Linked DNA regions of Caenorhabditis elegans. The protein of the gene in region 1 purifies or fractionates together with the protein of each later gene. This does not show direct contact. Each region holds a gene or a part of one and is shown in the gene's direction. Other genes may lie near its edges.

The links.
Region 2: the proteins of arid-1 (region 1) and mbd-2 purify together in Caenorhabditis elegans (affinity purification with mass spectrometry, with the first as the bait; one large-scale study listed by BioGRID). This does not show direct contact.
Region 3: the proteins of arid-1 (region 1) and sca-1 purify together in Caenorhabditis elegans (affinity purification with mass spectrometry, with the first as the bait; one large-scale study listed by BioGRID). This does not show direct contact.
Region 4: the proteins of arid-1 (region 1) and edc-4 purify together in Caenorhabditis elegans (affinity purification with mass spectrometry, with the first as the bait; one large-scale study listed by BioGRID). This does not show direct contact.

The regions. Positions count from the first base shown.
Region 1 is NC_003283.11:182,144-190,426, forward strand, and holds the start of arid-1 (AT-rich interactive domain-containing protein arid-1), read left to right. Parts: upstream 1-4,023; 5' UTR 4,024-4,161; coding exon 4,162-4,164; intron 4,165-4,223; coding exon 4,224-4,331; intron 4,332-5,115; coding exon 5,116-5,275; intron 5,276-5,926; coding exon 5,927-6,092; intron 6,093-7,158; coding exon 7,159-8,164; intron 8,165-8,283. Other genes in the region: cul-3 (Cullin-3), read left to right, coding at 1,546-1,757, 2,179-2,310.
Region 2 is NC_003279.8:6,060,885-6,067,803, forward strand, and holds mbd-2 (Methyl-CpG binding protein 2/3 C-terminal domain-containing protein), read left to right. Parts: upstream 1-3,203; 5' UTR 3,204-3,207; coding exon 3,208-3,387; intron 3,388-3,519; coding exon 3,520-3,645; intron 3,646-3,772; coding exon 3,773-3,997; intron 3,998-4,179; coding exon 4,180-4,281; 3' UTR 4,282-4,403; downstream 4,404-6,919. Other genes in the region: E3 ubiquitin-protein ligase ari-1.1, read right to left, coding at 3-68; pigo-1 (GPI ethanolamine phosphate transferase 3), read right to left, coding at 992-1,246, 1,291-1,511, 1,559-1,683, 1,746-1,908, 1,950-2,078, 2,389-2,582, 2,632-2,755, 4,404-4,506 and 9 more.
Region 3 is NC_003281.10:10,810,164-10,819,933, reverse strand, and holds sca-1 (Calcium-transporting ATPase), read left to right. Parts: upstream 1-3,089; 5' UTR 3,090-3,123; coding exon 3,124-3,156; intron 3,157-3,206; coding exon 3,207-3,288; intron 3,289-3,335; coding exon 3,336-3,550; intron 3,551-3,974; coding exon 3,975-4,113; intron 4,114-4,167; coding exon 4,168-6,225; intron 6,226-6,280; coding exon 6,281-6,630; intron 6,631-6,680; coding exon 6,681-6,983; 3' UTR 6,984-7,402; downstream 7,403-9,770. Other genes in the region: klp-7 (Kinesin-like protein), read right to left, coding at 9,184-9,490, 9,538-9,770.
Region 4 is NC_003279.8:3,344,686-3,352,693, reverse strand, and holds the start of edc-4 (FHA domain-containing protein), read left to right. Parts: upstream 1-2,802; coding exon 2,803-2,852; intron 2,853-2,929; coding exon 2,930-3,077; intron 3,078-4,073; coding exon 4,074-4,202; intron 4,203-4,247; coding exon 4,248-4,360; intron 4,361-4,422; coding exon 4,423-4,561; intron 4,562-5,678; coding exon 5,679-6,206; intron 6,207-7,123; coding exon 7,124-7,256; intron 7,257-7,683; coding exon 7,684-8,008. Other genes in the region: W05F2.7 (Hyphal_reg_CWP domain-containing protein), read right to left, coding at 129-231.

The DNA.
Region 1 (8,283 bases):
TTTTTTTGCTCAAAATGCCGTTTTTCGTGTGTAGAAGTGGCTACATAAAAGTTTGGCACTGCAGCCGCCGTTCGAATGGCCGATTGGTGAACTCTTGTGCTCATTAATCTAAAGGTCACGGGTTCGTTCCCCACTAGGTATTAATTTTTTTTTGAATTTTTCCTCTAGCATGAAATATGCACAAAAACACGGTTTCTTCCGTTTTTTGGTAACTTCGGAATAAATTTTTTGGTTCCTGGGAATCATAAAAGTAATTTGGAAACTTTTTGGAAGTTTTCTTTTTTTGATAAATTTTCACTTTTCTCCCACCTGATGTATGCACATTTTTTTCTTCAAAAATAATTTTTCAAAATTTTTTCAAAAAGTGTTTGGTTTGAAAGAGCAGCATTAGTTTGGATATTTCTACGATTTTGGAGGATCAAATGTCATTTTTAGGAGAAAACCACTGTTGTTTTCTCTAGACTTTTTCACGAAAAGGACCTACTTTCAAAGACTTCCAGCTCCGTTGACGAGTAAAATAAAAAAGAGTTGTCAACTGCAAAGTTATTTCAAAAGTACCAATGAACAAATTGTCAGTTGAAGTTACTCTGCTAAATTTTATGGGTAGAGAGATATAGCTAATCGAAGTGAAGCTTTAACTTACTTAATTACTAATGTCCATATCTCTCTACCCATAAAATTTAGCAGAGTAACTTCAACTGACAATTTGTTTATTGGTACTTTTAAAATAACTTTGCAGTTGACAACTCTTTTTTATTTTACTCGTCAACGGAGCTGGAAGTCTTTGAAAGTAGGTCCTTTTCGTGAAAAAGTCTAGAGAAAACAACAGTGGTTTTCTCCTAAAAATGACATTTGATCCTCCAAAATCGTAGAAATATCCAAACTAATGCTGCTCTTTCAAACCAAACACTTTTTGAAAAAATTTTGAAAAATTATTTTTGAAGAAAAAAATGTGCATACATCAGGTGGGAGAAAAGTGAAAATTTATCAAAAAAAGAAAACTTCCAAAAAGTTTCCAAATTACTTTTATGATTCCCAGGAACCAAAAAATTTATTCCGAAGTTACCAAAAAACGGAAGAAACCGTGTTTTTGTGCATATTTCATGCTAGAGGAAAAATTCAAAAAAAAATTAATACCTAGTGGGGAACGAACCCGTGACCTTTAGATTAATGAGCACAAGAGTTCACCAATCGGCCATTCGAACGGCGGCTGCAGTGCCAAACTTTTATGTAGCCACTTCTACACACGAAAAACGGCATTTTGAGCAAAAAAAGGACTACTTTTTAAGACCGAAAATTTCAGCTTTGGGACCGAGTTAAGCAGATTCCAAAAACTGATTCTTGTAGCCATAGATCTGATCTTCCATTTTCACTTTGTTTTGTCCTCCTAGCGATTGCAGGGGTAACACCATTCCCTAGTAAAATTTGCCTTTTTCACGTTTTTGAACTGTTTCATACGGAAATTTATGTTTTTTGGAATATTTTACGTTAACTATTAAAAAAGCACCCAGAAAAATCGATAATTTCAATTTATAATTTTTCCAGACATGAGTGACGAGTTCGCCGTCAACGACAACTTCCAATCGAAGCTGACACGTGTCAAAGTGCAAATGGTGACAGGAAAAGTGGAATCGGAGCCCGAGATTCGTGAAACTCGCCAGAAAGTTGAGGATGATCGAAAGTTGGAAGTGGAGGCGGCGATTGTTCGTATTATGAAGGCCCGAAAGAAGTTGAATCACAATAATCTGGTGGCAGAGGTGAGCATTTTTCCATTATATTTTTTATTTTAAATATTCAAATATTTTTTAAAGCTAAAATCGAAGTACGAAACAAAAAATACGATATAGAATGAGAAAAAAGTGTGAATGTTGCCAAAAAATGAATATTCACGCATAGTACACGTACTCGTAAATCTACACAACTCTTAAAGGAACATTGATTTATATATCGTGTTTAGATTGTCGAGGATGTCGGAAAAAAAATGTTTTTTTTTAATCAAAAATATAAAAATGGGCTCAATTTCGAGCTATTTTTCGAAAAACCTAAGTTTTTTTTTCGAATTTTTGACTTCCCGTTTTTCAAAAAAAAATTCGGTTGCACAACAACAACAACGCCAATTAAAAACCCAAATTCGCTGCAGATTTTTGCAATTTTCAAAAATTTAAAACAATTTTCCAGGTGACCCAACAACTGCGCCACCGCTTCATGCCGTCACCAATCATCATCAAGCAACGCATCGAAACACTGATCGAGCGAGAATATTTGGCTCGCGATGAGCACGATCATCGTGCCTATCAATACATTGCCTAGGGTCGATTTTTTCGTTTGGTTTCCAATGATTTTCACTCTCATCTGCTCTCCATTTACTTTTGCTATATTCTCTTAAAACACAGCAACAACGATTTGTTCATAAATACGTAATTTCTGTGGTTATTTTTACATTTAAATTTATTTATTTATTCCTTCTCTCTTTTTTTCTCACTCGATTCTTGGACCTGATGTTGCCTTGAACATTTGTATGTAGATGGGTCTTTTTTTTTCATTATTTCCCCCAAATCATTTCAAAATTATTTTATTATTTTCATTATATCATCTCGTCAAATTTGCTCCCTATCCAGATAGTATCCACCCCTGAAAGTTTTTGTCCCCACCAAGGGTGTCATTGAATAATCGATTTCAAAAAAGTTTTGGGATGAATTGAAAAACGAAAAATGTTCGATTTTTAGAAAAAATCGAAAAAAACCGACACCCTTGGTCCCCTTTTTATGTGTGTGAAGGCAAGTTCCTGCGATTTTAATCTCATTTTTTTCTTTCTCCTCTACCATTATCGTTTTACCCCTCCCCCACTGAACATTGAGCACAAAATGTCATATTTATATAAATGCTTCCTCCTCCAGATTGTTTTCAGCTGAGACCTGATGTGTCTCGAAACGTTATAAATTTTGCAGATACCGTAACACCACTATTTTCTATAAATTTTCAAAGCGTTTTAAAACATATTTTCGTTTTAAAATATATATATTTTTTTTTGTACTGTGGTTGCAATTTTTGAAATTTTCATTGATTTTCCAGAGTTTTTCTCACTTATTTGCTGAAATTTATTATTTTTAAATCCAAAAATTGAAATTACTGTACTCTCTAAAGGCGCACACACTTTTGGATTTTACAAAAAAAAAATGTCGTGCCGAGACCGGGGCCCACATTTTTAGCGCGAAAATTGAAAATTTCCGCAAAAAAGGTTTTTTAATCGTATTTTTACTTAAAAAACAATCATTTTTACATCAAAAATTAAAGTTTTACTTGGAAAATCTGTTGAAAATCGAAAAATAAATGAAATTAAACTCAAATTACTATTTATTTTATGTTTTAAAAGATGTGTTTTCAGAAAAAAATTGTTCCGAGCTTTTCCATACAATTTTCAATACATTTTAAATATTTTTATTTGTATTTCTTTCTAAAATTCATATTTATTTATCAAAAATTAGAATTTGTCTTTGAAACCTGCTGAAAATCGCAAAAAATCAGTCGGAACACTTTTTAGAGGTTTTCAATCGTATTTTTACATTTAAAATTTAAATTTTCACTGTAAAAACTCGAAAAACCAATTTTTTTGTATTCAAATTCCGGAATTTCCCAATTTTTTCTGCGCTAAAATACTAAAATTCATGCGCGCGCGATTTTCGAAAAACAGTGAATGTCTGCTTCTCTACACTCTCTCATCGACGAGAGAGACACACTCGCCCCACGCTGTAGCGGTAAGAGACGCAGAGAAGACAAGAGTCACCGCAGTCATTCGCGCGCGCTTTTCACAAATTTTTTTTTGTTGCTTCGGCTTTCAATGTTCCAAATTTTCAAAATTCAATCATTTTTAATAATAAATGTCTTATTTTGGTTAAATAATCGTAGTTTTTAATAATTTTCGCTAGATTTCATTGAAAAAATCAAATTCCTCGAGTTTTTCCGCCTGAAATTATAATTTTCCCGGCTTTTTTCAATTTTCCACATTAAATTCACAAATTTTTCAGATAAAAAATCCATAAATCCATGAATTGAGCTGGACTCGCCGAGGATTTTCGGAATTTTGGACAATAAATATATTTTTCATCTCAAACTAGCAAAATTCGGCGAATTTTTGAAAAGTAGTGGCTACTTATAATAATAATGGTGGGTTTTTCAATAGATTTCGGAGAAATTTCATTTTAAAATCATTTAATTAATTTCAGTCTGACGATCCGGCGTTTTTAGCGCTCGGAACAGAGGTGAGCGCCAAGTTTAAAGGCGCTTACTGCGAGGCGAAAATTCAGAAAGTCGATCGGAGTCTTAAAGTGAAGGTGAGCAACGGAAATCGATGAAAATTGAAGAAAAATCGCGAAGAAAGAAGCAGGAAATCGAAAATCTACGAAATTAAACTGAAAATTGCTCAGAAAAATGCAGAAATCCGCATTTTTCTCGCTCCGGGGTGAAAAATCGCTGATAAATCCGATAAAAAACCCCGGAAATTTTGGAAGAACAGTTTTTGAGCAAGAAAAGTCACAGAATCCTCTTAAAAGTCGATATACAGCAGATTTTCCACTTAAAACCGATTTTTGCGATAATTTTCTCGCTTGCTAGTGAAAAATGCTTATAAATCTGATAAAAACCCTCGAAAACGTGAAAAAAACCCAGGAAACAAACATAAATAAGATAAAAATCATAATTTTCACCTGAAATTCAAGATTCCACCAATTGATATTTTCGAGGAATTTTCGTCATTTTTCGTTGGAAATCTGCATGAAAATCCGCTGAGAATTGATTTTTTCGAATTAATTGGAAGTTCTCCTGAAAATTCGCTTAAAAATATTTTTTTAAACCAAATTTCCGCATATAAACGGGTTTTAGTTAGACATTTTCCTTTAAAAATCCAATCCACTGAAAATCGTTTTTTTTTTCGTATAATTTCCGCAATATGACGGTTTTAAATGATTTTAGCTGGTAATTCTCCTGAAAATCCCGCAAAAAATCGATTTTTTCGACGAATATTCGTCATGCTTCTGTTATATTCGTGATTTTCATACAATTTTACATAGAAAATCCGTCTAAAATCGAGATTTTTCCCCAAAAATTTCAAATTTTCAGGTTTCGCTCAAAGAATCCCCATTTGGACAGATGATTGTGCAGGACAATGATCTACCGAACGCAAAATTCGAGATAAATGAGCTTACAGACGTCGTATTTCAGCGAAAATTCATCCGATGTCAAATTCAATCGATCAAGGATCAGAGCAAGTACCACGTCGGTCAGTATGGCTGAAAACGTGTCGAAAAATCGTGAAAATCAATTTTTTAGTGAAAAAAAATTGCAAAAACCACCAAAAAATCAATTTTTCGATCAAAAGTGGCGAAAAACGTCCAAAAAACTTATTTTTCCCACAAAAAGTTTTTTAAGGTAGAAACCCAAAAAAATCCCATTTAAATCATTTTTCAGCCAAAAAACGTGATTTTCAATTCCAAAGTCGAAGAAAAACTCATTTTTTTGCCAAAAAATTACGGTTTTGTCGCAAAAAACCGAAAGATCACACTAAAAATCGGTTTTTATGATAGAAAAACTGAAAAATGATCTATAAAATTCATTTTTTTGCAAAAAAAAATCATTTTTTTAGTACAAACCAAAAAAAAGCTGTCCATAAGAAAATTTCAGTGAGAAAAATTATTTTTTAGCCGAACCAATTTTAATTTCATACCAAAAATCAAGAAAAGGACCGAAAAATTGCCTTGGAAGTCAATTTTTAGTCGAGAAAATCGATTTTTGATGCTAAAATCATTCTAACCTTGATTTTATGCCGGAAAAAATTAATTTTTCGTAAAAAATCCTGAAAATCACTGAAAAATCGATTTTTCTATGCGAAAAAACCGAAAAATTGCCCAAAAAAAATCAATATTTCTTCCAGTTTTCAACGATGGCGACGAAAAAGAGCTCCGACGCACTCAGCTGGTCCTAAAAGGTGGAAAACACTTTGCAGCCGATGGAAATCTCGACTCAATGCCGCTAACAAATCCGGAATCCTTCTCAACGCCCGTAATACGTGGCGCCGCAAAACGTGGAGCTCAGAAAATGTGCGGAAGTTTTTTTGAAAATCTGGAAAAATTGGTTCAAAATCTATATTTTTTGGATTTTTCCGAGCGAAAGTATCACATATAATTATCCACAAAAATCAAGAATTTTCGATAAAAATAACGATTTTGACTGAAATTTTTCAAAAATTGCATCTGAAAATCGAAAGTTTGCAATTTTCTCGGAAAATCGTTAAAAAACGAAAATCATTTTTTTAAATTGGAAAATAACCAGAAATTATTGAAAATTCGATTTTTTTGTTGAAAAAATCGGGAAAAAAGAAAAAATTTATAAATTTTCGATTTTCAAAAATATACATTTTTTTTCTTTGGAAAACGCAGAATTCCACTCTAAAAAAATGTTTTAAAGGAGGACTAACGGTTCGGACGATTTTGAACGTATAGACCCAAAATGAGCTCAAATGAACGAATTTCGTAATGAAACTGCTCAAAAATTTTTCAAAAATTTTTAATGGCGGTTCAAAATTTTGAAAAAAATTACACTAATTTTAGCTAAAATCCAGAATTTTTCCCATTTTTCCGTGTCACATCCGTCCGAAGTTAGCTTTTTTTGGAATTATCGTACTTTATTGCATATATTGGTATTTAATCTCATTTAATTTCGCCGATTAAAGTACATTTGAAGCCGATAGGTAACCAAAAATCATCGAAATTGGCTACCTATCGGCTTTAAATGTACCTTAATCGACGAAATTAAATGAGATTAAATACCAATATATGCAATAAAGTACGATAATTTGAAAAAAGTCAACTTCGGACAGATGTGACACGGAAAAATGGGAAAAATTCTGGATTTTTTCAAAAATCAGTGTAATTTTTTTCAAAATTTTGAACCGCCATAAAACATTTTTGGAAATTTTTTGAGCAGTTTCATTACGAAATTCGTTCATTTGACCTCATTTTGGGTCTATACGTTCAAAATCGTTCTAACCGTTAGTCCTCCTTTAACGAAAAGTCGAAAAATCGGGGGAAAAAATGAAAAACTGAAAAAAAAATTGAAAAACTAAAAATTTCCGATTCTTTGATATTTTCAAACCAAAAATTTCAGCCGAAATGCTATTTCCGAAGCGTCTGGAAGTCGTGGCGGCGCCGTTCTTCTTCACAACGACGACGATGAGAACGACGAAGAAGATCAGGAAGATGGTGAAAATGAAGAAGACGCCGACGACGATGATGATGACACAGAAGAACAGCAACAACCACGAGAACGACGGCGAGCCGCCGCAATTTCAGCAATAGGAGTGCTAAAAAAAGCGATAGAGGACACACAGAGCGAAGAATCGTCGGCGGATTCCAGTGAGGAACGAGAACGAGCGAGAAGCCGACGGAAACGGAAGGATGAAGCTTCATCAGCAGTTACATCTGACGAAGAGGATCAGGAGGATCTGGCTACCACAGATTCCGAAAATCCAGTCATCAATGGAGCATCATCAGCAGCAGCTCTCTCGAAAACTCTGCAGCGAAAACTCGAAAAACAGGCAATGAAGCGAGAAAAACAACGGCTGAAAGAGGAGGAACGAGAAGAGAAGCTTCGGTTGAAAGAGGAGAATCGGGAGAAAAAGCGGCGGGAAAAAGCAAGAATTATGGAGCTGAAGCGGCTAGAAAAGGTGTATCGGACCTCGAATGCCAGGATTCAGGAGAATCACGAAAAGTCGATGACACAGATCATTTCGCATAGATCTGTACGCTATTTTGCGAGATTCTCGGATCTCAAGCATCGTCGGAAAAAGAAGAAGCTCTATCTACACGAGCATCGGCAAAAAGTGAATTCTCGAATTCGCAACGTGAAGCTCTACTTTGCTTGGCGCTTCGTTGCTCACAAGGCTCGATTGTCGTACTTTGCACGGTACGCACTTCAGTGGTGGAGGACGAGCGAGGATCAGGCGTACAGCTTAATCCGAACGGAGAAGCTTTTGAGAAGTCAACGGCGACGAGATTGGGTTGGAAGCTGGCTCGAGGGCCTGGAAAGGGAGAAGATTCGATTTGTTGTGATACATGAGAGCTACACACAGGCGCGTCGAATTTTGAAATATATCGAACGGGGAACGGAGAAGGTTGATATTTAGTTTTACGAATTTTGAAAACGTTGAGAAATTTTTGAGTTTTTTTTGGTGAAAATCGAAAAAAACGAAATTTTTTTATTCTAAAAAAAAATTCTAAAAGCTAATAAATT
Region 2 (6,919 bases), on another chromosome or scaffold:
ACCCCATCGTCAATTTCTCCTTGACTTGAGTCACTGTCGTCCATATTGATCTCATCGTCGGAACTCATTCTAAAAGTTTTTCTCAATTATTCACTCAATCAAAAAAAATCAATTTGATGTATCGATTTTCTGCCAGTCGCGCACCTAACTGAAAGAGAAAAAATCCAAGAAAAACACTGAAAGAAATAGTAGAAAATGAAAAGAGAGGAAGCGCAGCACAGGCACAGAACAGCCGGAGACAGTTGGTTAAATCGAGAGACCCAATGAGAGAAACGAGCGTGTTTTGTGGGAGAAATTTTGGAGCGCAGAGGGGCACACTTGCGAATGTTCTCGTACAAAGCCATGTGACCTTTTTCTTTTAAAATTCCAAAAATTCAAGATTTAAGGTACACACATTATTGTCAGACAAACATTTTTAAAATTCAAATTAAGTTTTGTGGGTTACGGTAAACAACGCGGTGTTTGCGTACAATCAAAATTGCGTACAATGCCTTTTATTCGACGACTAATAAAATTTGTTTGTTTTATGATTTTAAAATTGTTTTTAAACTAATTAAACAGTCCTTTTATGAAATACGATTTCTTGGAAACGATTGATAAAAATTTAGAAATAATTCATGAAATGATATAAACTTAAATTTAGCATTTATATATAAAGAAAAAAAAAAAGAAAAACCTAATGAGAATGTTAATTCGAGGTACTTAGTGATGAGGAAAACTGAAGAGGAAAGAAAATGAATGAGCAACATCCAACAAAAAAAAAGTTGCGAAATTCAACACAATACTCATAGACATTTCCAAATAAGTAGCTGATTTGACTGGAATACTTTATGAAATGAAGACCAAGTTTAAAATAAAATATTATTCTTTGAAAAGCCGCGATTTATTTTTTTAACAAGAAAATAATCATAATTCAAGTAAAAAAAGTAGAGAGCACCAGTAAGTTTAAGAAAATGTCTGTGATAAAAAGAAAAACGAGATAAAATTAAAATCAATGTAATTTATTTATTTTTGCTTCACTATTCTTGAATTTCTCGCCAAAAAACTGTCGATAAATAAGAAAGAAATTGGCTGAGAAAATGAAGACGATGGTGAGAATGCATTCGAAAATGAACTTTGGAGCGAATATTTTCCAAACCATCAGATGACGCCGATGTATTGAAGAGACCAAACAAGTGAGCGTTGCCCGTATTGTCATCAATACAAGAGTTTCTGTTAACGTCCAAGCTGTGTTGGGTGCAGACATCTGAAATTATAAAGAGTTTTCAGTTTTTCAGTAAAATCTCTCACTTTCTGACTAGATTCACTTTCACTTGAGATCACAAAAATCGATGAGATCGCCGAAAAGTTGAGATGAAAGAGTACGAAAAGTGCAGGGAGGACACGAAGAGCTGTTCCACCAGGAATTCCAACAAACGCAGCATTCCATGGAATTGAAGAGATAACTGGTGAATGTCCAAGATGATAGAATCCTAGTGGGATGAGCAAAGCGATTGTAGATGCAATGAATTCTGAAATAATGGATTCTCAAGAAAAACAATTTATCAATTTTTGTCACCTCTTGACACAAATTCAGCAATTAATACTGAAACTGCTATGAATATAATTATCGCCGGAATCAGCCCGTCACCAAATAAGATATAAACCGGCATCAATAAAAAATGAGCACATATCGCAGAATTTCTGAAATTTAAGAGTTGCCTTTGTGAGAGTAGATAAGCCTTTTAATTGTTCTCGTAAAATACCCTTCTCTCCAAGCGAGAACAGCGCAAATTAAAGAAATCACAGAAAGCGAATGAGCCGACAAATTGGCTCTGGAGACATCATGTGTCAATGATGCGAATACTGAGTGAAGTACAATAATTGCAATGTGAAGCCATGATGTTGCTGAGAGAATTCGAATTGTTTCTGAAAATTAAAATTTTTTTCGCTGAATACTTTTTCTCAACCTGAACTCCTCTTTGAGTTTGATTCAATTTGACTTTTGGTATCTCGAAGTCCGTAATATTTGAAAACCGAGAGATTGGCGACAGCAAGAGATCCGAGAGCAAATAGAAGTCGGACAACTTGTGCGTCTCCTGAAAAATTAGGAAATATTTTTAGAATTTTGTATTTAAAAGATTATCTATTTAAAATCAAGAAACTACGCTCATTTTAGTTAGTGTAATTTGAAAATACGACTCTCAATAGAACAAAACTCCAAGAAAAAATTAATTTCGAAACAAAAATTCCCTTTCGTTGCGAGACCATTCGCCAGACTACGGTAGATGTGAAACTTGGGGAAGCCGTGTACTACTCTCGGACAAGCGTTATTTATTATTTTTTGACAAATTTTGGAATTCTTTCTTATTATTTATTTTTCAACTACTCTCGTTAATTTTCACTTACTGGTTAAACTCCCAGCCTGCCTCGAAGGGTAATATGTATCACATCCAACTTCTTCTTCACGACATCTATGAAAAATGGGCTCCGACCTCAGACCAACCATAATTAGTGTGAAAATTATTAGATTTTGATCTTGATTTACAAATTTCCAAAGAAAATTTAGCTTAAACGGTTTCCGAGGGCGCAACGCAGTCGAGCTGAAAAAATAATTTTTAGTAATGTTTCGGTTGAATTTCAGTTGCTAACCGCAATTTTTCAAGAAACACGAGAGTAACGAGTGATTGCAAAAAGTATCGAACAACTTGAGCTTCGTAGACCACATAACTGTTCGAAAAAAGACTAATCGAATGGATTATGACGAGAATTGGGCCTGAAAACTCGATTTTAAGACAATATTTCAACACATATTAGTTCATATTTTTGCTCACGTCCATTTACGAGCAAATTCTCACTTCATTCACTTTTTTCGCTTTCTGTGTTCATTGCCCTCCCCTAGGTTCACCGTATAAACACAAACGCGCTCCGACGCACACCTCTGTTGGCCAGCGTTCCCTCTTTTTGCGTATCCAGCAATTAAACATTATGCTCATTTTATTGATTTTTTCTCATAAATTTGAGGTTTTTGAATTTGAAACCACGTTTTTCACTACGATTGTTTCTAAACTGTTGATGATAATTCAAATATTGAATTTTAAAATGCATGACCCGTTATTTGATTCATTTTCCAGCTCAAATATTTCAAAAAACCGATGTTTTCTTTTTCTAATCTTCGCACACTTTTCATAATTCAACTAAAACATTTCTACCATTCTTTCTAGAAAAATGGCAAAAGCAGATGCTCTGTTCCGACAACGTCGTCCCGGGCGTCCGGTAAAGGCTCGTCCAGTTGAAAAGGACATCAAAACTGGATTCGATGGAAATTGGGATTTAGTGGTCAGAAAGTGTCCCACCACATTCTCCCAGCATGTTTCAGAAGTTACCACAGCACAGCCAGAGACTAAGGTGGGATTTTTAAAGAAAACTTTCTCCCAAAGTATTAAGATTTTGAAGATATCGCCCAAAAACTTGTTCCCCATCAAATAAACTAATTTGATTTAAAAATCCTTGTCCTCTATAATATAATCGTATTTCCAGGTGCAAAACGACGAGCTATTGAAACGGCGATCTCGGCGGAAGACAGAAATGAGACCATTTCAGGCAATGTGGGCAAAGAGTCTCAGTGGCCTTCAAGTATCCATCCCACACGAGAAACCAGACAGGGTTCGTTGAAATGTTTGGGGTCTCAACACGAAAAAACTAATTCCGAACCATTAAATTTGGAAGACATTTTCTAACAAAGAATTGTGGAACTGGTATAAAAACAAGTAAAACATAAATTAATTTCCAGATCGGTGACGTTAAAAAGGCAGAATACTCGTACGAATCAATTAAAAAGATCTCATTGATCAAGCCAGGAGTGTCTGCATTTACTCCAGAAGAGGCAATGACTACAGTAATCCAACAAATGAACAATGGATTTATGACAAATGGAACATTCGGACAAGCAGCTAACAAAGATAAGCTCGATGTTAATTTCATCGGATTAGCTCTCCATGATCAGCCACTTTGTGAGGTAAGCCCAGTTGAAAACATTTAAAAAATCTCGAAAAATATTTTTCTTGCTCTGGAAAAGCCTTTTTTAATTAGAAAAAAATAAATCAAAAATGATATCTTGAGAAAACCAGAAATTTCAAAACAGTAAATATTCTGACTTTTTTCAGAAACAATTTTAAATTTTTTTTTTCATATTTTCAGCGTATTCCAATTGCACACATCGTCGAAGAAATCAGTTCCCAAGAAAAACGTGTCCTCGATGCCCGTAAACGACTTCAAGAGGTTATGAAGTACTTTGGATGAAGTTTCCCTTATTATATACGCCAAAAATACTTTCGATCTTACTATTTATTTATTTATTTTCCAATTTTGGACCTGCTAACTTTTTTTTTATGTAACTATATTTCTGATGAACAATGAATTACCTATTACTTTTGCCGAGAGCATCGATTTTATCGATATCCGAATTTGCAAAGCTTTATGACACATTGATATGATAGAGGAGAGACACGAGACCGCGAGAGTCATCTGGAATTTTAGAAACTATTCCACCAAAACTGGCGGGTGAAAGAAAATTACCAGTAACAAAGTTCTGGCACTCCCATCGGAATCAGTTTTATCAGTGAGAAGTGCTGCCTGAAGGAGACCACATCCCGTTCGATAGATTATCCATTCTAAAGACATCACCTGAAACAATGAACAATTTGACACGTGGTCTCACAAATTCTAGAAATCGAAAGGCCAACCTCATTAGTAATCAAGAACATGATAGCTTCAACGAGTGAGAATATTCCAGCATTAATATAAGCATCATCAAATTGAGTCCACGATACTCGAAGAAGTGTCTGGATTCGTGACATTGTGCTGGAAAACATTTATTACATCAAAACTCCGCCCACAAGGTGGTACTGTAGTTCAAAAAACTCACTCGAGCTGTTCTTCCATTGTATTTGAATCGCGAATTGTATGAGAATGAAGTTCGCCGAAATTTTTCTGCGCCGCGTAAGTTTCCGCGAATCTAGAATTTTAAAAACTTTTTTGAGTGAAAATAACGTTTAAAGGCACATGCCAACTGAGTCCTGCCACACGAAACCCATCATTTGCCTCTACAATTCTTAAAACTAAGTTTCACCTTTTTACTTGCTCATAATTCATTCCAACCGCAATTTCCCATAAATCTCTGGTAAATAATTGAGTGATAACAGTTCCTAAATTGGAAAATGGAATAGGAAGACCCATTAGAAGAGATATTGTTGGAACAATATCGATTTGATGAATTGGACGTTCAGGAAGAATAATTTGATGTTTTTTTGAGTGTACAAGGATTCCTGCACGAATTTCATTTTCAGATTCTCCGCCATGATCTCCTGTAGATGTCATTCCATGATCATCAGATTTCATTGTTTCGATCGTTTGACCAATTATTCGATCCATCTGGAAAGAAAGATGAAATGGGTCAACGTCCAAAAAACTCTAACTTTTCGCAGAGTGTCTGCCATGACTGGATGAGATGGTCCAAATTTATGTCCACAGTGATCAACTCCGAGAAAATGAGCAATAATGATTGATGAGTTTGAATTGAGCATTTCATCTTGTAGAATCGCTGGAAAGGAATTTTGTTTTTATTCACCGGAAATAGTCAACTTTAAAAAACGCGTTTTTTCTTCAAATTTTGGCAGATTCTCCTGTTTGAACATCCTCCAAAATGAGAACTACAAAACCAATCAGAAAATGGCTCCGTCCATTTATGAACGAATGAATGTTTTGAAAGTGGATGCGTCCTCTTATTTTGGACGAAATTCAAATAGAAAAATCTGGAAAAATCGAAAAACTTCGTTGTTGAATTCATTTTTGCATTTGTTGGCATTCTTAAATTTCTGATTATTTTACGTCCTTCAAAGCAAAATACCATTTTATTATAATACTTTCCAAAAAAAATCTTACGAGCAATTTTATCATCGACGGTGTTCAAATCATTAATGTCGAATGAATCGTAGGCTGCTGTTTTTGAGAATTGATTTGGGAACAAGGAAAGCCTGGAATGTCTCTGATGACTTTGATAATTGTGATATCTGACAAAAATCCAAATATTTCACAGTTGCGATCTTCTGCGAGATTTGACGGGAAAGTACGGTACCCGTTCTCAAAACGACCGAAACTTTGCAACTACAGTACTCACAAATATTTCGAAATTTCTCTTTCTCATTTCGAGAAATTTTGTATCCATAATTCTTCAATACATATACAGTTTTTGCACTAAAAAGAAAAAAACAAAGTTTCGGTCGGCCGAGACAACGGGTGTTTTTAAGTCAATATTGCAAAATTCTACAATTGAATAACAGCAAATATATGGTGTGTTTCAAACAAGTTTTTGACTAAATCTAATTCTTTTAAAAAATATTTACCACGTGTCATCTCCGAGAAGTGTGACATTTTTTCCAAGTTGTGCTGCTTGATAGACAAAACTATCTTCACTTATGACCGCATCAGGCGAGAAATTGTCTCCAGCGTCAATAAATGTTGGAAGGGTTCCAGTGGTTAATGCCTGAAAAATCTTTTATTATAGTTTTTTCGGAAACCAATTTTCAGCGGCAACGTAGTTCAAAAGTGTCATTCGAGACCTCTTTTGTACCTTTAATCTTTGCAATGTAGTTGTTGGTGGATCGGCTAGAAGAGTTCCAATTGATACATTCCCCGATTTTACAAGTTTTTCGATATTCTGAAACCATTATTTCCAGAAAAAAAATTAAAAGAAATTTCCCACTTTCATTTGTCCTCGATAGTACCATTCCTCCTTCGATTTTTTTGTATTTTCGTCAATTGGAATCAGAAAATCGTAGCGAAGAGCGTCGACGAGTATAAGAATCACCTGAAATACAAATGCGCTTCTTTGGGAAACATTGTGAACTCCACGTGGAGAACTCAGGAACAATTTTTTAAA
Region 3 (9,770 bases), on another chromosome or scaffold:
CTGTGCCAACTTGTCTTCGTGCCCTCGAGCGACGAGCTCATTCAATCACGCCACGACCTCCGTCTGGACAGATGCTCTCATTGTCTCTGCGTCTCCAAGTATTCGTCACACTATCTCATGCATTCTATTCAAAACGCGAGAGAAAGCGCGGGAACGAGAGAGAGTTCAGACAGATCGAACTTGTTTTTATCCCCCCCCCCCTCGTCCGGCTGCAGAGCAAAAAAATACTGCTTTTCCTTGCAAAATTCGGTGCTTTCTTCAAAGAGAAACTTTTGAAGTCGGCGCGAGCATTTCCTTCTTTGACTTCTCTCTTTCCGCCAAAAAGCCTAGCATTTTTATTGATAATTTGATTACACACACTCAGAGTTCTTCGACATGATAAAGTGTTTCATTGGCACTCGCCCTAACAGTACATGACAAGGGCGGATTATTATCGATCGATATTGAAGACAAACTCCAAATGTGTGCTCATTTTGGAGCCCCGTGTGGGGCAGCTGCTCTCAATATATTACTAGGGAGACGAGGAGGGGGACCTTATCGAACGTCGCATGAGCCATTCTTTCTTCTTTATGCACTCTCTTCACTCTCTCACACATTAATCGATTCATAGACTCCCATATTCCTTGATGAAGGTGTGGGTTTTTAGCTTTTTTTCCCGATTTGTAAAAGGAAGAGGCTGACGATGTTAGGAAAAAGAGAACGGAGCCGAAAAAACATCCGTAGTAAGTCTTCCTTTTAAGCCGACACTTTTTAGACAGCATTCGCCGCTAGTTTTGAAGTTTAAATTTTAAAAAATAAAAATTAGTTTCAATTTTTTTTAATTACTAAATAGGCAAAAGTTTTTTCAAGAACTCTAGAAAAACTAGCTTAATTCATGGGTACTAGAAAAATTCTTGTTTTAAATTTAATATTTATCTTAAGATGTAATTACGAGAAGCTTTTTTGAAAATTCTCAATTAAAAGAATTTGCCGATTTAGAATAAAAGTCTTCAGAAATGAGTAAAAGCTCAAATTAGAAGTTTGTTTTTAAAGGAAAAACACGAAAAAAGAACACTATTTATCTTTTCCTCCCCGCGTAAAATTAGTTGTTGTGATAATAGTGATCCGCTGTCTATTTGCACTCGGCTCTTCACACCGTGCTTCCTCTCACTTGACCCAACAGGAAAAAAAAACATCACGTCTGAGACGGTGAATTGCCTTATCAAGAGCGTCGTCTCTTTCACCCAGTAACAAAAAAAATTTGGTTTCTTTACTTTATATTTATGTAGGTCACAAAAAAAAAGTGATGCAGTTTTGTGGGTCGGTTGTCTCCACACCACCTCCGCCTCCAGCAGCACACAATCATCTTCGTGTGTTCTCGACGATTCCTTGTATGCCGCGGTCGTGAATGCACCACATTCGACGCGCAACTACACACCACACTCACTTTCGGTGGTATTACTACACGTCATCGTTGTTCGTAGTCTCCCGCTCTTTCGTCCCCACTCACTCCTCATTATTCCCCTTGGTGTATTGATTTTTTTTAAATGGTACACCACTCCTGACGTTTCTACCTTCTTGTTTTCCGTCCATTTAGATTTTATCTGGAAATTTTTTTAAAATTTTAGGCCAGAGAGTTCTAGTTCTTGTTCTAAAAGTCTAGGTCAGACATACATTTTCTATTTCTCATCAAAAAAAAAGTTGATAAAGAAAACTGGTTATTCAGAAAGAGTGTGTCTCGTTGAAATTGATTCAAAAAAAAATTCCCACCCCTCGCTTGTTTCTCAAAATATGAGATCAACGGATTTTTTCCTTCTCGATTCAATTTTTTGCTGCGCTCTGTCTGCCAAAGTGTGTGTGTCCGAGCAAAAGATGAGAGAATTTACAAACAGAAATGAAAAAAAGTTGGCCAAATAATGAAGTTTTATCCGAGATTGATGGGAAAGATATTAATGTTCTTTACGGTTTGGAGGGGAGAGAGAGATAGATTTTCGCATCAAACTCCGCCTTTTACATGTCTTTTAGAATCTAAAATAGATTTTTCTCATCATTTTTAATAGAAAATCGAGAAATTACAGTAATTTCGCAATTTTCTTGCCAAAAATACACGAAATTTGTGGGTCTCGCCACGATCTCGGTCTTAGTGGTTCATTTGGTTTAAAAGTTTATAAAATTTCAAATTCTAGTGTTTAATTTCCGCATAATTGGACCTAAAATGGGTTTTTGTCATCATTTTCAACAAGAAATCGTGAAAATCCTGTTGTTTCGCAATTTTCTTTTCAAAAATACACGAAATATATGGTAATTTCCCGAAATATTGAGGGTCTCGCCACGATTTCAGTCACAGTGGCCAGGATTTATCACGAAAAAAGTTCGCCTAGTCTCACATTTCCGGAAAACCGAATCTAAATTAGTTTTTTGTCATCATTTTGAACAAAAAATCGAGACATCCCTATAGTTTCGCAATTTTCGTCGCTTTTCTCTCCAAAAATGACAGTCTAGAATTAAAATTCGCTGGAACTGGGACCATGATATCTTTTCTCCCCGTTTTTCATTTTATTTTTTATTACACTGGATTGACTAAAGGTCACCACCACCGCCAGTGTGTGCCATATCACACACACACACACACACAATGTCGAGATTTTATGTGTTATCCCTGCTTGATTTCGTTCCGTTGTCTCTCTCTCTCTATTCATCTTTTGAGCCGAGAAGCTCCAGAGAATGGAGCACACAGGATCCCGGCGCGCGATGTCGTCGGGAGATGGCGCCGCCTGGGAAGCCGCCGAGAGATATCAGGGAAGATCGTCTGATTTCTCCTCGGATGCCACCTCATCTCTCGAGTTTCTCCGCCTGTTACTCCCTGCCGAACCTGATATTTCCCGTTGTCGTAAAGAGATGTTTTTATTTTACTTTACACCGGGTCCTCTCTCTCTGCCAGCACAGCTCAGTGTTGGCTGTGTGCTCGGGCTCCTGCCACCGGCGGCCTCATCTTCTTCTTCTTCTTCTCTCCTGCTCTCGCTTATCACTTCTTCATTCATTCTTATTCCTTTTCATCATCAAACTAGCATTTCTTACTTTATTTATTTTTTTCAATTTTCAATTTTCAGATAAAACCAAACTACTTGGGTTACAGCCGTCAACATGGAGGACGCGCATGCCAAAGACGCCAATGAGGTACTTTTATAGTTTTTAAATTTTAGTTTTTAATACAATTTATTTTCCAGGTGTGCAAATTCTTCGGAACGGGTCCGGAGGGATTGACTCCACAGCAAGTTGAAACATTGAGGAACAAATATGGAGAAAATGGTTGGTTTTTTACATGGATTTCTCATTAAAAATTGAATTTTTTCCAGAAATGCCCGCCGAAGAGGGAAAATCACTGTGGGAGCTGATTCTCGAGCAATTCGACGATCTTCTCGTCAAGATTCTCCTCCTCGCCGCCATCATCTCGTTTGTGCTCGCCCTTTTCGAAGAGCACGAAGATCAGACAGAAGCAGTGACGGCGTTCGTCGAACCGTTCGTCATCCTTCTCATTCTTATTGCCAACGCGACCGTCGGAGTGTGGCAGGTAGGAACAACACAGACAGGCGCACGCGCTGAAAGAAAATAAGAAGAAGAAGAAAAAGCACAGTTGTTTTCTGTGTTTTTGTAGATCAAAAGAAAGGAACTAGGAGTGATTGCACAGAGAGAGAGAGAGAGAAATAATGTCTTTTTGACTTGTTTTTGTTGGTGAGAGAGATAGGGAAAAAGAGTCCCTAAAGAAAAAATAGTGTAACGGGCGGTCCGGAAGAAATGCTCTTTGCGCCGAAAAGTTTTTGAAAAAAGAAGAAAATGATGAAGGAAAGGCGTGCGTCATGAGCTTCGCATTTACGTACGCAAAAAGTGAGGGATATGTGAAAAAGATATTGGGTGATAGAATAGTTGATGGATTGGGCTGCACTATTTGCCTCAATTTGCCACAAATTTCCATCTAATTTGTCATAATTTTCCAGGAACGAAATGCTGAATCGGCCATCGAAGCGCTCAAGGAATACGAACCAGAAATGGCCAAGGTCATCCGATCCGGACACCACGGAATTCAGATGGTTCGCGCTAAGGAACTCGTGCCAGGAGATCTTGTCGAAGTTTCAGGTTAGCAAAAACTTTTTTTTTTAACTTTCAAATTTTAAACCATATATTTTTCAGTCGGAGACAAGATCCCAGCCGATCTCCGTCTTGTGAAGATCTACTCCACCACCATCCGTATCGATCAGTCCATCCTCACCGGAGAATCTGTGTCTGTTATCAAGCACACCGACTCTGTGCCAGATCCACGCGCTGTTAACCAGGACAAGAAGAATTGTCTGTTCTCGGGAACCAATGTCGCATCTGGAAAGGCTCGTGGAATCGTCTTCGGAACCGGATTGACCACTGAAATCGGAAAGATCCGTACCGAAATGGCTGAGACCGAGAATGAGAAGACACCACTTCAACAGAAGTTGGACGAATTCGGAGAGCAACTTTCCAAGGTTATCTCTGTTATTTGCGTTGCTGTTTGGGCTATCAACATTGGACATTTCAACGATCCAGCTCACGGTGGATCATGGGTTAAGGGAGCAATCTACTACTTCAAAATCGCCGTTGCTCTTGCCGTCGCTGCTATTCCAGAAGGACTTCCAGCTGTCATCACCACGTGCCTTGCCCTCGGAACTCGCCGTATGGCCAAGAAGAACGCTATTGTAAGATCCCTTCCATCCGTCGAAACTCTTGGATGCACATCTGTTATCTGCTCTGACAAGACTGGAACTCTCACCACCAACCAGATGTCTGTGTCAAAGATGTTCATCGCTGGACAAGCTTCTGGAGACAACATCAACTTCACCGAGTTCGCCATCTCCGGATCCACCTACGAGCCAGTCGGAAAGGTTTCCACCAATGGACGTGAAATCAACCCAGCTGCTGGAGAATTCGAATCACTCACCGAGTTGGCCATGATCTGCGCTATGTGCAATGATTCATCTGTTGATTACAATGAGACCAAGAAGATCTACGAGAAAGTCGGAGAAGCCACTGAAACTGCTCTTATCGTTCTTGCTGAGAAGATGAATGTTTTCGGAACCTCGAAAGCCGGACTTTCACCAAAGGAGCTCGGAGGAGTTTGCAACCGTGTCATCCAACAAAAATGGAAGAAGGAGTTCACACTCGAGTTCTCCCGTGATCGTAAATCCATGTCCGCCTACTGCTTCCCAGCTTCCGGAGGATCTGGAGCCAAGATGTTCGTGAAGGGAGCCCCAGAAGGAGTTCTCGGAAGATGCACCCACGTCAGAGTTAACGGACAAAAGGTTCCACTCACCTCTGCCATGACTCAGAAGATTGTTGACCAATGCGTGCAATACGGAACCGGAAGAGATACCCTTCGTTGTCTTGCCCTCGGAACCATCGATACCCCAGTCAGCGTTAGCAACATGAACCTCGAAGACTCTACCCAATTCGTCAAATACGAACAAGACATCACATTTGTCGGAGTCGTCGGAATGCTTGACCCCCCAAGAACTGAAGTTTCGGACTCGATCAAGGCTTGTAACCACGCTGGAATCCGTGTCATCATGATCACCGGAGACAACAAGAACACCGCTGAGGCTATCGGAAGAAGAATCGGACTCTTCGGAGAGAACGAGGATACCACTGGAAAAGCTTACACTGGACGTGAATTTGACGATCTTCCACCAGAGCAACAATCTGAAGCCTGCCGCAGAGCTAAGCTTTTCGCCCGTGTCGAGCCATCTCACAAGTCCAAGATTGTCGATATCCTTCAATCCCAGGGAGAGATTACTGCTATGACCGGAGACGGAGTCAACGACGCTCCAGCTTTGAAGAAGGCCGAAATCGGAATTTCTATGGGATCAGGAACTGCTGTCGCCAAGTCTGCATCTGAAATGGTTCTTGCTGACGATAACTTCGCATCCATTGTGTCTGCTGTCGAAGAAGGACGTGCTATTTACAACAACATGAAACAATTCATCAGATATCTCATCTCATCTAACGTCGGAGAAGTCGTCTCCATCTTCATGGTCGCCGCACTCGGAATTCCAGAGGCTCTCATTCCAGTTCAACTTCTCTGGGTTAACTTGGTCACTGACGGTCTTCCAGCCACTGCTCTCGGATTCAATCCACCAGATCTTGACATTATGGACAGACATCCACGTTCAGCCAACGATGGACTCATCTCTGGATGGCTCTTCTTCAGATATCTTGCTGTCGGAAGTACGTTTAAAAAATTCCCCTAAAAAAGTATAATTCTAAAATTGAAATTTTCCAGCCTACGTCGGAGTTGCCACCGTCGGAGCCTCAATGTGGTGGTTCTTGTTGTACGAGGAGGGACCACAGATCACCTACTACCAGCTCACTCACTGGATGAGATGTGAAATCGAGCCAGACAACTTTGCCGATCTTGACTGCGCCGTATTCGAGGACAATCACCCGAACGCCATGGCTCTGTCCGTGCTTGTCACCATTGAGATGCTCAACGCCATCAACTCACTTTCCGAGAATCAATCGCTTTTAGTGATGCCACCATGGAAGAACATCTGGCTGATGGCCGCCATTTCCCTTTCGATGTCTCTTCACTTTGTCATTCTCTACGTTGACATCATGGCCACCATCTTCCAGGTATCACAATTAATCATATATTAATCGAAACATCTAATTCAAATCTTCAGATCACCCCTCTCAACTGGGTCGAATGGATCGCCGTGTTGAAGATCTCACTGCCAGTGCTCCTTCTCGATGAAATTCTCAAGTTCATCGCCAGAAACTACATCGACGGTAAGCCGGAGACGGTCGGCGCGAAGGCACGTAGTGCCATCTCGCTGCTCGCCTGGGTGTCTGTGACGCTCGCCTACTTTGCGTGGATGTTGGGCCCGTACGCCGAGCTCATTAACCATGCGCTCGTCGGTCCATCTGTCGATCCGTCGAAATTCGACGCGGTTGTCACGCCCGACAAGTTACATAACGAATTGTGATTGAAGTTCTTCTAACCCCCAAACCAACCGCCTCTCAAACAACTTGTGATGATTTCTCTTTATTTTCTCTCTCTTTCTTGTTCTAATCATTTTGGGCCTTTTTCCCTTTTTCTCTCTGCAGTGTGTTAACTGATCCATAATCCTTCGTGTAAACCCCCCTCTCCCTACTTTTAGGATTTCTTCCTCGTTGCTCATTGTATTTTGTCCAAATCGCCACAATTTCCCTACAAATATATATGTTTTTTTTGCTAATTTTTTGTGTTTCCCTTCCTTCTTGTCCACTGAAAGTTCTACGTCTCTCGCTCTCCACATCCCCATTGTTCTCCCCTTTTTTCATAATAATTTATTATTATCCTTTTTTTAAATTAATTTTTGTTGCGTGTGAATCTATTAGGAGCTCACAAATAAAAGTGATCCTTTAAAAAACCTTACTTCCTTCTGTTTTTTCTCTAACCTAACCAATGTGTCTGTTCAGGGAGTGCCTCTTTTCTTTACCGAATGGTGTGCAATTTTGTCGACTGTCGATCTCGTCCATGGCAATGCAGGATTTGAAACTAAATTTCCCTGGAAAAAGAAATAATTTTGGTGATTTTCAGTTGAAGCTCCAATCAAGGATAAACGCGACTAAAAATGACAGTGCTCCCTCAATCAGAGTGAGCCCAGCCGCCGCCCATCTCATTTTTCAGACTCTTTCATATTTTCTAAGTTTTCCAATTTTTTTTCTTTTGTAGTGCGATCGTTTTCGTTTCGAGACCCGAAATCGAAAGGATCTCTTTTAGAGATCTTTAGGATCTTTTTTCTTTGCTCAACTCATCATTCTTTGTTTTTTCTTCTATATCCTCTTGTTGACGGTGATCAGACAAATTTGTTAGAAATATTATTACATTTCCTTTAGGTTTCTTCTATTAAAAAAAAAGAAAACTTCTGCTAAATTCGTGTACGTTGTCTCTCCCATTTCTCATTAAAAATCGATATTAATTGTAATTTTTGGTTTGTCCTCCAGTGTCGTGTGCGCCATCGATGGAAATAAAAAAGTTTCAAAACTATTATAGCTTTTCTTTTTATGAAAAATATAAAATACAATTAGAATGTTTTTGTTAAATGCGATACGGTGTGCGCCTTTAAAGAGTAGAGTACTGTAGTTCCAAAATTTTGTTGGTGCGGGATTTTCATTGATTTTTCATCGTTTTTCGACAAAAATATATTTATTTATTGAAAAAAGTTAAATAAAACTATTAAAAACACAGAATTTTTAACAAATTGTGAAAAACACATGAAAAATCGATGACAATTCTACAGTAACGAACATTTTGAATTACAGTAATCTTTAAAGGCGCGCACACGTTTGCATTTAATTAAAATGTGTCGTGTCGAGACCGACTACCACGTCTCGTTATTATAGAACGAGCAATTACAGCCTAACATCAACTCAGAACAAACCAGGATCCCACGCAAGTTTAAAGGAGCATGCTGGGTATCACAACGATTTTTTGAAGAGAACGAGGCCCCACGAAACGGGGAGCAGAACGAAAAGGGGATCTGCAAAAAGGGGATCTGCAAAAAGGGGATCTGCGAAAAGGGGAGATATGAAAAGGGGAGATACGAAAAGGGGAGCTGGCACTGTGCCAAACGCACAAAACGCAATTTTTCTCACGCAACGCACGTTGATTTTTGAAATTTTCTTCTAGAAGATACGCTTAACAACACGCGACGCGTAACATCGGAGCATCGTTGTATTGTTTTCTTCGAGAAAAATAGCGTTTGGCACAGTGCCAGATCTCCTTTTCGTATCTCCCCTTTTTCGTATCTCCCCTTTTCGTATCTCCCCTTTTCGCAGATCTCCTTTTTGCAGATCCCCTTTTCGTTCTGCTCCCCTTTTCGTGGGGCCTCAAGAGAACGACTTAATTGTGCATGAATTCCGGAACAGCCACCTTCAAATTGAACACTGATTAAACGAATAAAATGGTTCATTTAAAACGGAACCGAGAAAAAATGGGGACCCGTAAAATATTCACAACGAGAGGGGAAAAAGATGGAAGGGGAGGGTCAAATAATTTTCACATACCCTAAATGAAATAAATACGGTAAAATATTGGAGGAATGCGATAAAAATAAATAGAAAATGGTGAATAATGAGGGGGGCGGGGAGTAATAATCATGGTACATGAAGTGGGTAGCATATCGTCGCGGGAATCAGCAATCAGACGTTTTCCACGGCGACACGGGTGTTCGAGACTATCTGCGCAAGTTGATCAAGCTTGGCGAGGCATTCGGCTTTCTGGGCAGCACTCGGCTCGTTGGAGAGGACAATCGTCGTTTCGCGTATGATCTTTTCAGACATATCTTTCAGGTTCCGGACGTGATCGACCGCTACTCGACGATGTTCTTGCTTCTCGACCATCTCATCGTACTCTTCATCCGATTTGTCTGCCGATGGGGGCAGGAACAATTCCTCGTCTCGAATTGGGGTTGCTTCGCCGCTTCCGTCGGTTCCCATTTCTTTGACACTGAAAAATGTGAATTTTTTTTAGCAAAAAATAAATAAAATTCCTACCGATCCGCGTAGCGAAGTGTGTTGAGCGTGTGATCACTCGACGAGATCCCTGGCGAAATCATCGAGATCATCACTGTCCTGGACTTCTCACCGATGAAGCTGTCTCGGAGAACCATCGTGAGCTTCGACTGTCTGAACGGGACATGTGAGCTGTTGCGAGCCATTCCACGGATGCACTCCTTCAGTGCGAGCAGCGATGTGTTGATGTTGGCGCCCTCTTTCCGCGTGTCACG
Region 4 (8,008 bases), on another chromosome or scaffold:
CACCTACTTTGCCTGCAGCCTAACGGCAGGTAGGTCTGAGGTAGGCACATAGGCAGGCAGGTAACTGATAAGCCTACAAGCATGATAAATACTTAACAACTCACCTAAAAGGTACCTTAATAACTCACCTAAAACATCCGTTGCAGTTAACCGAGCACTCTGACAATCCTGAGCACTTGTGGAAGCAATCAAAAAGAGCAGGGAAAGCGCAATTTCTTGCGCGGAACCCATTCAATTTGCTCTCCTATTCGTCAAAATTCCTGAAATTATATTTTTCACTTTTTCTCTCTTTTTCTAGAATTCTTATTTTCTGAAAAAAGGGGGCGGGTGGATTTAATCACTATGGTAACATGCACATAGACAGCCAAGAAATGTGATTATTTCTGGGGAAAAAAGAGAGAAAAGAGCAAGGAACACGAGGAAATTGTAAACATTAAATTCCAGCTAATCACGTTGCAAAAATGTCTGAAAAACATCACGCACGCCGCTAATTTTGCGCGTAGGATATGGTGCATTGAATACGGTGGCTGAGAAAGGGAAAACTGACAAACTGCACAGACAACTATATAGTTTGGTAGGCATTGGTAGGCATACCTTCACACCTGCCTACATGCCTGCCTGCGCCTATTTTAGTGCGATTTTGGAGTGATCTCGAAGGTTGTTGGTCAGTATTAATTTGCAAACATCAGCAAGTGTAGGTTTTGTAGGCAGGCGTAGGTAATGTTGGTAGGGGTTATAGGCAGGCACAAAGTAGGTCTAGGTCTTTTAAGCAGGCAAAACACAGGCGTAGGTATTGCAGGCAGGGACAAGACAAGCCTAGGTATTGTAGACAGGCACAAGACATACCTAAGTCTTTTAGGCAGGTACAAGGCAAGCGTAGGTCTGATAGGCAAGCAAAATTCAGTCGTAGGTATTGTAGGTAGGCCTGCTTTTCAAAAAAAAGTGTACTTAGAAAAAAATCGGGAGGCCAAAAAGTGTCGATACGTGTGTGTGTGTTCAAAAAGAGATCGGATCAAGAGGGGATTTCATAGATTCTATTTTTCAAAATTTGGATAGTCTTTGACCGAACAAAAGAGGGAATATAGTGAGACGTAATCGAAAGTGTTAGAACTTTTTTTTAACCTGTGGGATGATTGTCTAGTTTTTTGATGTACTCTCTCTCCTCTTTCTCACTCGCTCTCTGTGTGGTCATTGTTGTCTTAAATTTTGGCGCATAGTTTTTGGGCAAAAAAAGCAGGGAGACAGGCATTTGTGGATAGGCATGAGTTACCATAATATTGCCCAGATGTAAATTTTTGCGGTTTTGCAGTCTCAGAGCTCCCAATTTCATAAATTCAAAAAAGTGTGTACCTTTAAAGAGTACTGTAGTTCACAATTTCTCGTGACCTCTGGATTTTCAGATTTTTTCTAGTTGGTCTCCCGTTTCCTAAAAATGTTTACATATTACGGGAACACAAAATTCTGAGAATGCGTATTGCACAACAGATTTTACGCGAAAAATATCTCGAAGCGAAAACTACAGTAATTCTCTAAATGACTACTGTAGCGTTTGGGTCGATTTATCGGCTCGATTTTTGAAATTATTTTTTTCCATTAGTAGCAGTAATAATCCATCATCATCTTTTACTCTCTTACTCTCTTACTATCATCTCTTACTATCATCTTTTACTTCAAAAAATTTCAAAAATCGAGCCGATAAATCGACCCAAACGCTACAGTAGTCATTTAAAGAATTACTGTAGTTTTCGCTACGAGATATTTTGCGCGTCAAATATGTTGCGCAATATGCATTCTCAGCATTTTGTATTCCCGTAATACTAATGAAAAATATTTTCACATATCTTTCGATTTTTTTTACAGTACTCCTTAAAGGCGCGCTGTCTTTTGCAATGTAAAAAATTCGGTCGCTTCGAGACCTATTACCGTATTTCTGAAATTTTTCTCTGTTCAGAACGTTCAGTGACAACTAAAACCAATTTTTCCTCTGAAAATACAGAAAAAATTTGTGAAATTCTGTAAAAATGGGGGAATAAATATTTTTAAAACATGATGATCCCGTGAACGTGACCCTGAACTCCCGAAAATATCCACGTGGCTAATCCAACTCCCACATATGAACTTTAAAATCAAAAAATTTATTTCGCCGAAAGATGAGCCAAATGCAAAAATTGGGCTCGAAGAGCAAAGGTCAGAATCCGAATAAAGGGGATGAGGTGGAGATGCTTCGTGCCGGATTCAAGAACAAGCATGGAGAAGCTGTCAAATCGCAGGGACAAACCATGAATATTGAACTCTAGTAGGGGTTTTCCCCCTAGCTTCGGTGCGAATTTGAGAATAAATATTTTTACTTAAGTAAAAAGTATATACTTGAATATTTATTTAAATTTTTAATTAAATAAATGAGACCCCACAATTTGAGAATGCCTGAAACGAACCTGTGACTTTTCCAGAAAAAATCATTGTGAATTTCAATTAAAAAGTTTGAATATTGTTGGCTCAAATGAGTTACTATTATATTACTAATATTTCGCTGTTCAAAATACACTTTTCAGCTTTGAAAGTTATCTATTCCCTCACATTTCTAATTCCCACGTTTCTCCGTCTCCTTTCCATCGAGAGTTCTCAGTCCGCAATTTGTCGTCACGGTGTACATTTGCAGAAACACTTTCACTTGTTTGCAAGTGTTTTTTTGTTGTTCTCTCGGCGTCTCTGCTAATTTTTTCGGTTTTAACCAGTTTTAATGTTCCGAATTTAATAATTTTTGATTAAAAATCAAGGTTTCCAAGTTTTCAGGGTATTCCGATGGTCGATTCACACGGTTTGCAGTCGCCAGACGTCGTTGTGGAGAAATAGTGAGTTGGGCCAGGACGAATATCGATTTATTTATCGTTTTCCTGTATGGAAATTCAAAAATTCAAATGATTTACAGCACTATATCGAGAGAAAAGTCGTCGATTGGCTTCGAAATCGGCAATAATGTGACCGTTCAGTTGAACGCGCCATCGGACGTTGACAACGGGCGAGAACGGGATTCGTCGAATGCGCACACAAAAGTTATTATGGATCACAAGGGAGATGTAAGAGAATTAAAGAATTAAGAATCGTCAATGGGAAAATTGTTTAAAAATATAGTATTTGTACTCAAACTTCCAATTATTGCAAAAGAAAAACGGGAAAAATCCGCTAACATTCAGCAGTTTAAGTCAGAAAAATCGTCGAAAATGTAAATTTAAAGGGAGAGTAGAGTTTCTGGGTATTTTGCTCAAATAGACTAAAACTGGTCCAAAACCAACGAATTTCATAATGAGACTTCACAAAAACTTTCCAAAAATTTTTTATGGCCGGTCAAAATTTCAAAAAAAAGAGCCAAATTTTGCTAAAATCTGAAATTTCGCACACTTTTCTTTGTCACAGCCGCTGGATTTGAGTTTTTCTGAAATTATCACCCTTTAATCCTTATTTTAGTAATTTATCTCGCGGAAATTCGTTGATTGAGACAACTTTTTGGCCGATAGGATTCCAAAAATGATCAAAATTGGATGCCTATCGGCCTAAAAGTTGTCCCAATCAACGAATTTCCGCGAGATAAATAACCAAAATAAGGATTAAAGGCTGATAATTTCAGAAAAACTAAAATCCAGCGGCTGTGACAAAGAAAAGTGTGCGAAATTTCAGATTTTAGCAAAATTTGGCTCTTTTTTTTCGAAATTTTGACAATTTTTTTTTTGACAAAATTTTTGCCACGAGGATCAATCGAATCTTTCTAAGAAAGAAAACAAATTAAAGTTCGAAATAAATACATTTAAATCAATATTTCGTTGAACGAAAATGGCCTAGAAATCGTGTAGTGGCCTAGGTTTCAAATGCGCGCGAAATTCAAATTCAGCCACTTTCGTCGATTTCAACGGTTAAATGCTGAATATTAACGGATTTTTCCCGTTTTTCTTTCGCAATAATTGGAAGTTTGAATACAAATACTACATTTTAAAACAATTTCCCACATTGACGATACTCCTTTTTTAAAGTAAATTTAAAAAAAAAACACAGAATTTAAATACATTTTTTTATTTCAGATTCAATATCTACGCGGGAGAATTTTGACGTCAAACGGACCAATCGTCGGATTCCGCTCAATTCACGAGTCTGTCGGTGAATCCATGAACCTTATCAATTTGCAAACAAAGCAAAGGCACCGTTTTAAGGTTTAAAAGCCAAATTTTGATTTTTTAATTTAAAAATTGCTTCAGGACTTCCCATTCCGTACAATCGACCTTGCCTTCGCCCAACATCACAAATACCTCGCCGTGCTCAACGCCGACCTCTCACTTGTAGTATTTGAGGTGTCTGACAGATGCGATCCGTTAGTTATTCTACAAAATTGGAAAAAAAAATCCAGAAAAATCGAATTTCAATTATTTTCAGAAAGAAATACCTGTCGATCGTGAATTGGCCGTCATATCAATCACAGGGAAACGAGGATCAACCGAAACTCTCGTGGTGTCCGTATATTCAGGGTGAAGATGAGGATGATGAGACTATTCATATGATTGCTGTCTACTTGGTCAGTGTCGAGGCGAAATTTCGAGAAAATTGAGGAAAAAATTCAAATTTTCGAGAAAAATAGATACAAAATTTAGCCGATTTTGCACCAGTACCCGGTCTCGAAGCGATATATTTCTATGAAAAAGTGCCTTTACGGAGTACAATTGCCGTTTGCCAAATTTTTTTGTCGACAAATTCGGCAAGTTGCCGATTTGCCGGAAATTTCTATCCCGGCAGTTTGCCGGTTTGCCGATTTGCAGGAAATTTTCAATTCCGGCAAGTTGTCGATTTGCCGATTTGCGGGAAAATTTAAATTCAGGCGGTTTGCCGAAATTTTTAATTCCGACAATTTACCGATTTGCCGGAAATTTTTCAATTCCGGCGATTTGCCGAAAAAATCGTTTGCCGCCCGCCCCTGCTGTAGTCGAACCAATGGCGTCGTCGAAAAATTTTCGATTTTTTCGGTTTCCCGCTTAGAAAGAGAGGCGGGACGTATTTTTGCAACCCTGCGGCACGGTTTTTTCTTCTTCTTTTTTTGCCCGTTTTCCATAAATTTTCGGTTTTACTCGTTATATTCTCTTTTTTCGAATGAAAATGCTATTCTTATAAAATTTAGAGGATATTTCATGTTAAATTGGTTTAAAAAACATGAACTATCCTAGAAATTTTATGAGATTCAAATTGAATATTCATTTAAAAAAGGAAAATGACACAATTAAAATCGAAACTTTATTGGAAAAAATCATTGAAAATAGTGGGAAACGGGCGAAAAAAGTGGAAAAACCATGCGGCAAGCTTGCGAAGTTACGCTCCGCCTCTTTTTCTGTGTGGCGCTGCTTTTTGCAAATTTTTGCATAAAACAAAAAGTTAAAAACTACAGTACTCCTTAAAGGCGCACGTTTTGATTTAAATTTTTTAGAAATCTGTCGCTTCGAGACCTTCCACCGTATTTTACGGCGAAAATCTCATAATTCTGCTGATAAAATAGTGAAATTATTTTCTTGAAATAATTTCAATTTTTTGTATTTTCTTGATTTTTTCTTACTTTTTTAAGAGAAAAACACCGCATTTTCAATTAAAAAACAGCTGATTTTGTTGAATTTTTCAAAAAGAAAAAAATCTCAATTTGTTTCCAGGGTCGCCAGCTGTACATTGTGAATCTAGGAGTTTTGAAAGAAGCGGGTCTAGGAGACACTATCGAATTTGAGGATGCAAAGAAAGAGGACGGTGGACTATTCTGTCACTATTTCTCTGATCAACCGGATAAAAAGAATCTGAGAATTGCTTCAGTCTGTATATCTCCTGATTCTACAGCTGTTGCAATCGCCAAGACCGAGGGTCCCGTACAATTTTTCACTTTTAACGAAGAGAATAATACACTTACCGCTGCTCATTGTTTCGAGCCACGTGGATTCGCTAGGAATGGATTGATCGATGATCTGATCTTCCTTGACGATTTGACACCGGATCGTCGGAAGTCACTTCCATTCTGGAGATCATGTGTTGTTGTATCAAATGATGGACATAAAGTTGCTCTATACGAATGTCAGAGTTGGAAGTGTCTCGGAAGAATTCGCTTCGAGACCACTAGAGCTATCAATAAATTTGTTAGCATTTCGGATCCGGCAGCGAATTTTGTGCATTTGCTCGATGTGGATGGCATGGTGAGCTTGGTCTATTTAATGGACCAGAAAAACCGAATTTTATAAGAAAACTTTGAAATTTTCATCAAAAAGTGTATTAGGACGGTTCAAATTTTGAAAAACGGACTAAAACCTTCAATTTTGCCGAAAATTGATTTTTTTTTTTGAATATTACACTATTTTGCTTATTTTAGTGATTTATATCAGGGTGTGGCGGAAATTGTCGTTCGGCAAATTTTTTTGTCAACAAATTCGGCAAATTTGCCGTTTTGCCGAACATCAATTTGTCCGTTTGCCGGTAATCATCATTTCCGGCAATTTATCGATTTGTAGATTTGCCGTTTGCCGAACTAAAATTGAAATTCTGAAATTTCCAAAAAAAAATGTGCGAAACCAAAATTTTCGGCAAATCGGCAATTTTCCGAGTTGCCGGAGATGTTCAATTCCGGCAATTTTGCGGGTTTTTTCTGGAAATTCTCAATTCCGGCAACATGCCGATTTTCCGGAAATTCTCAATTCGGACAACTTGCCGATTTTCCGGAATTTTCAGTTCTGGCACTTTGCCGGAATTTTGAATTCCGTCAATTTGCCGATTAAAAAAAAAACGAAATAATCGTCAAAAATCCTATTAAAATCAATTTCCGAAAGCTACGACGAGGAAAAGTTGGGAAAATTGAAGATTTTAGCTAAAATTAAACCTTTTTTGAGAAATTTTCCTATTTCACGTTTTGAAATTCGGTTTTTGGGCCATTTTGATACTAATACAGCAAAAAATTAAATTATTGTTCCGTGTATAGCAGGGGCGAGCGGCAATTGCCGGTTTGCCGATTTGCCGGAAATTGTCAATTCCGGCAATTTGCGGTGTTTGCCGGGAAAATTGTTGGTAAAAACTATAGGGCTTAGGCTTCAAAATTAACCAAAAATTCCCATTTTTTCAGAACGTCTTCACAATTGAAATCCGAAATCCATTCCGTACAGACGAGCAGCCACGTTTCGTTGGAATTACGCAGACCTCATTTTGCCATTCGATTTTCTCGATTGCCCCGATTTCGTCGAACACTTTTGAAAATGGTAGCGTGATTGAGCTCCCAGATGCGAAAAAAACCGAAATTTTTTGATTTTTTGTTAAGAAAAATCGGAAAACCTGAATTTCACAAAAATCAAGTTTTCATGATCTAGTCGGAAACAAGATCTACGAAAAGAAGATCTACATTTTCAGGATATGGCACCGTGCCAACTTTCGCAGTTTTCTCCAAGAAATTCGAAACAACGATGCTCCGATATTACGCATCGCGCCTTGTTTAGCGTTTTCCAGAATTTTTTCTTTCAAAAAAAGGCTTTTCTGAACGCTACACAACGCTCGATGCGTAATATCAGAGCATCGTTGTTTCGATTTTCTTCAAGAAAACTGGGAAAGTTGGCACCGTGCCAGATCCTGAAAATGTAGATCTAGATCTTGAAAACGTGGTGCCTCCCAAAACCATCGTTTTTTTTGCAGCTGAAGACTCTGGAGATGACCTATTCAACAATGATAGCAACGATGAGGAGAGCGGAGATGAATCAGATGGAACTGAATCAGATACACGGATGAAGCATACCAAGATAAAGCGGCATTTTGTGGCAATGGGCAAGAGGAGTATGGTCGAGCTACAATTGACACTGAAACAGCATATTCCATCCCCAGTTGGTACTGTTGCAGCAGAATCTTCACAAAAAGAGCCAAGTCCTTCGGTTTATGTGGACACTGAGACCCCAGAGCACCAACAGCTACAAAATTCTGGAGGTCTTCTGATGAAGGTTGCTCCACAGACTTCTAGTATCGA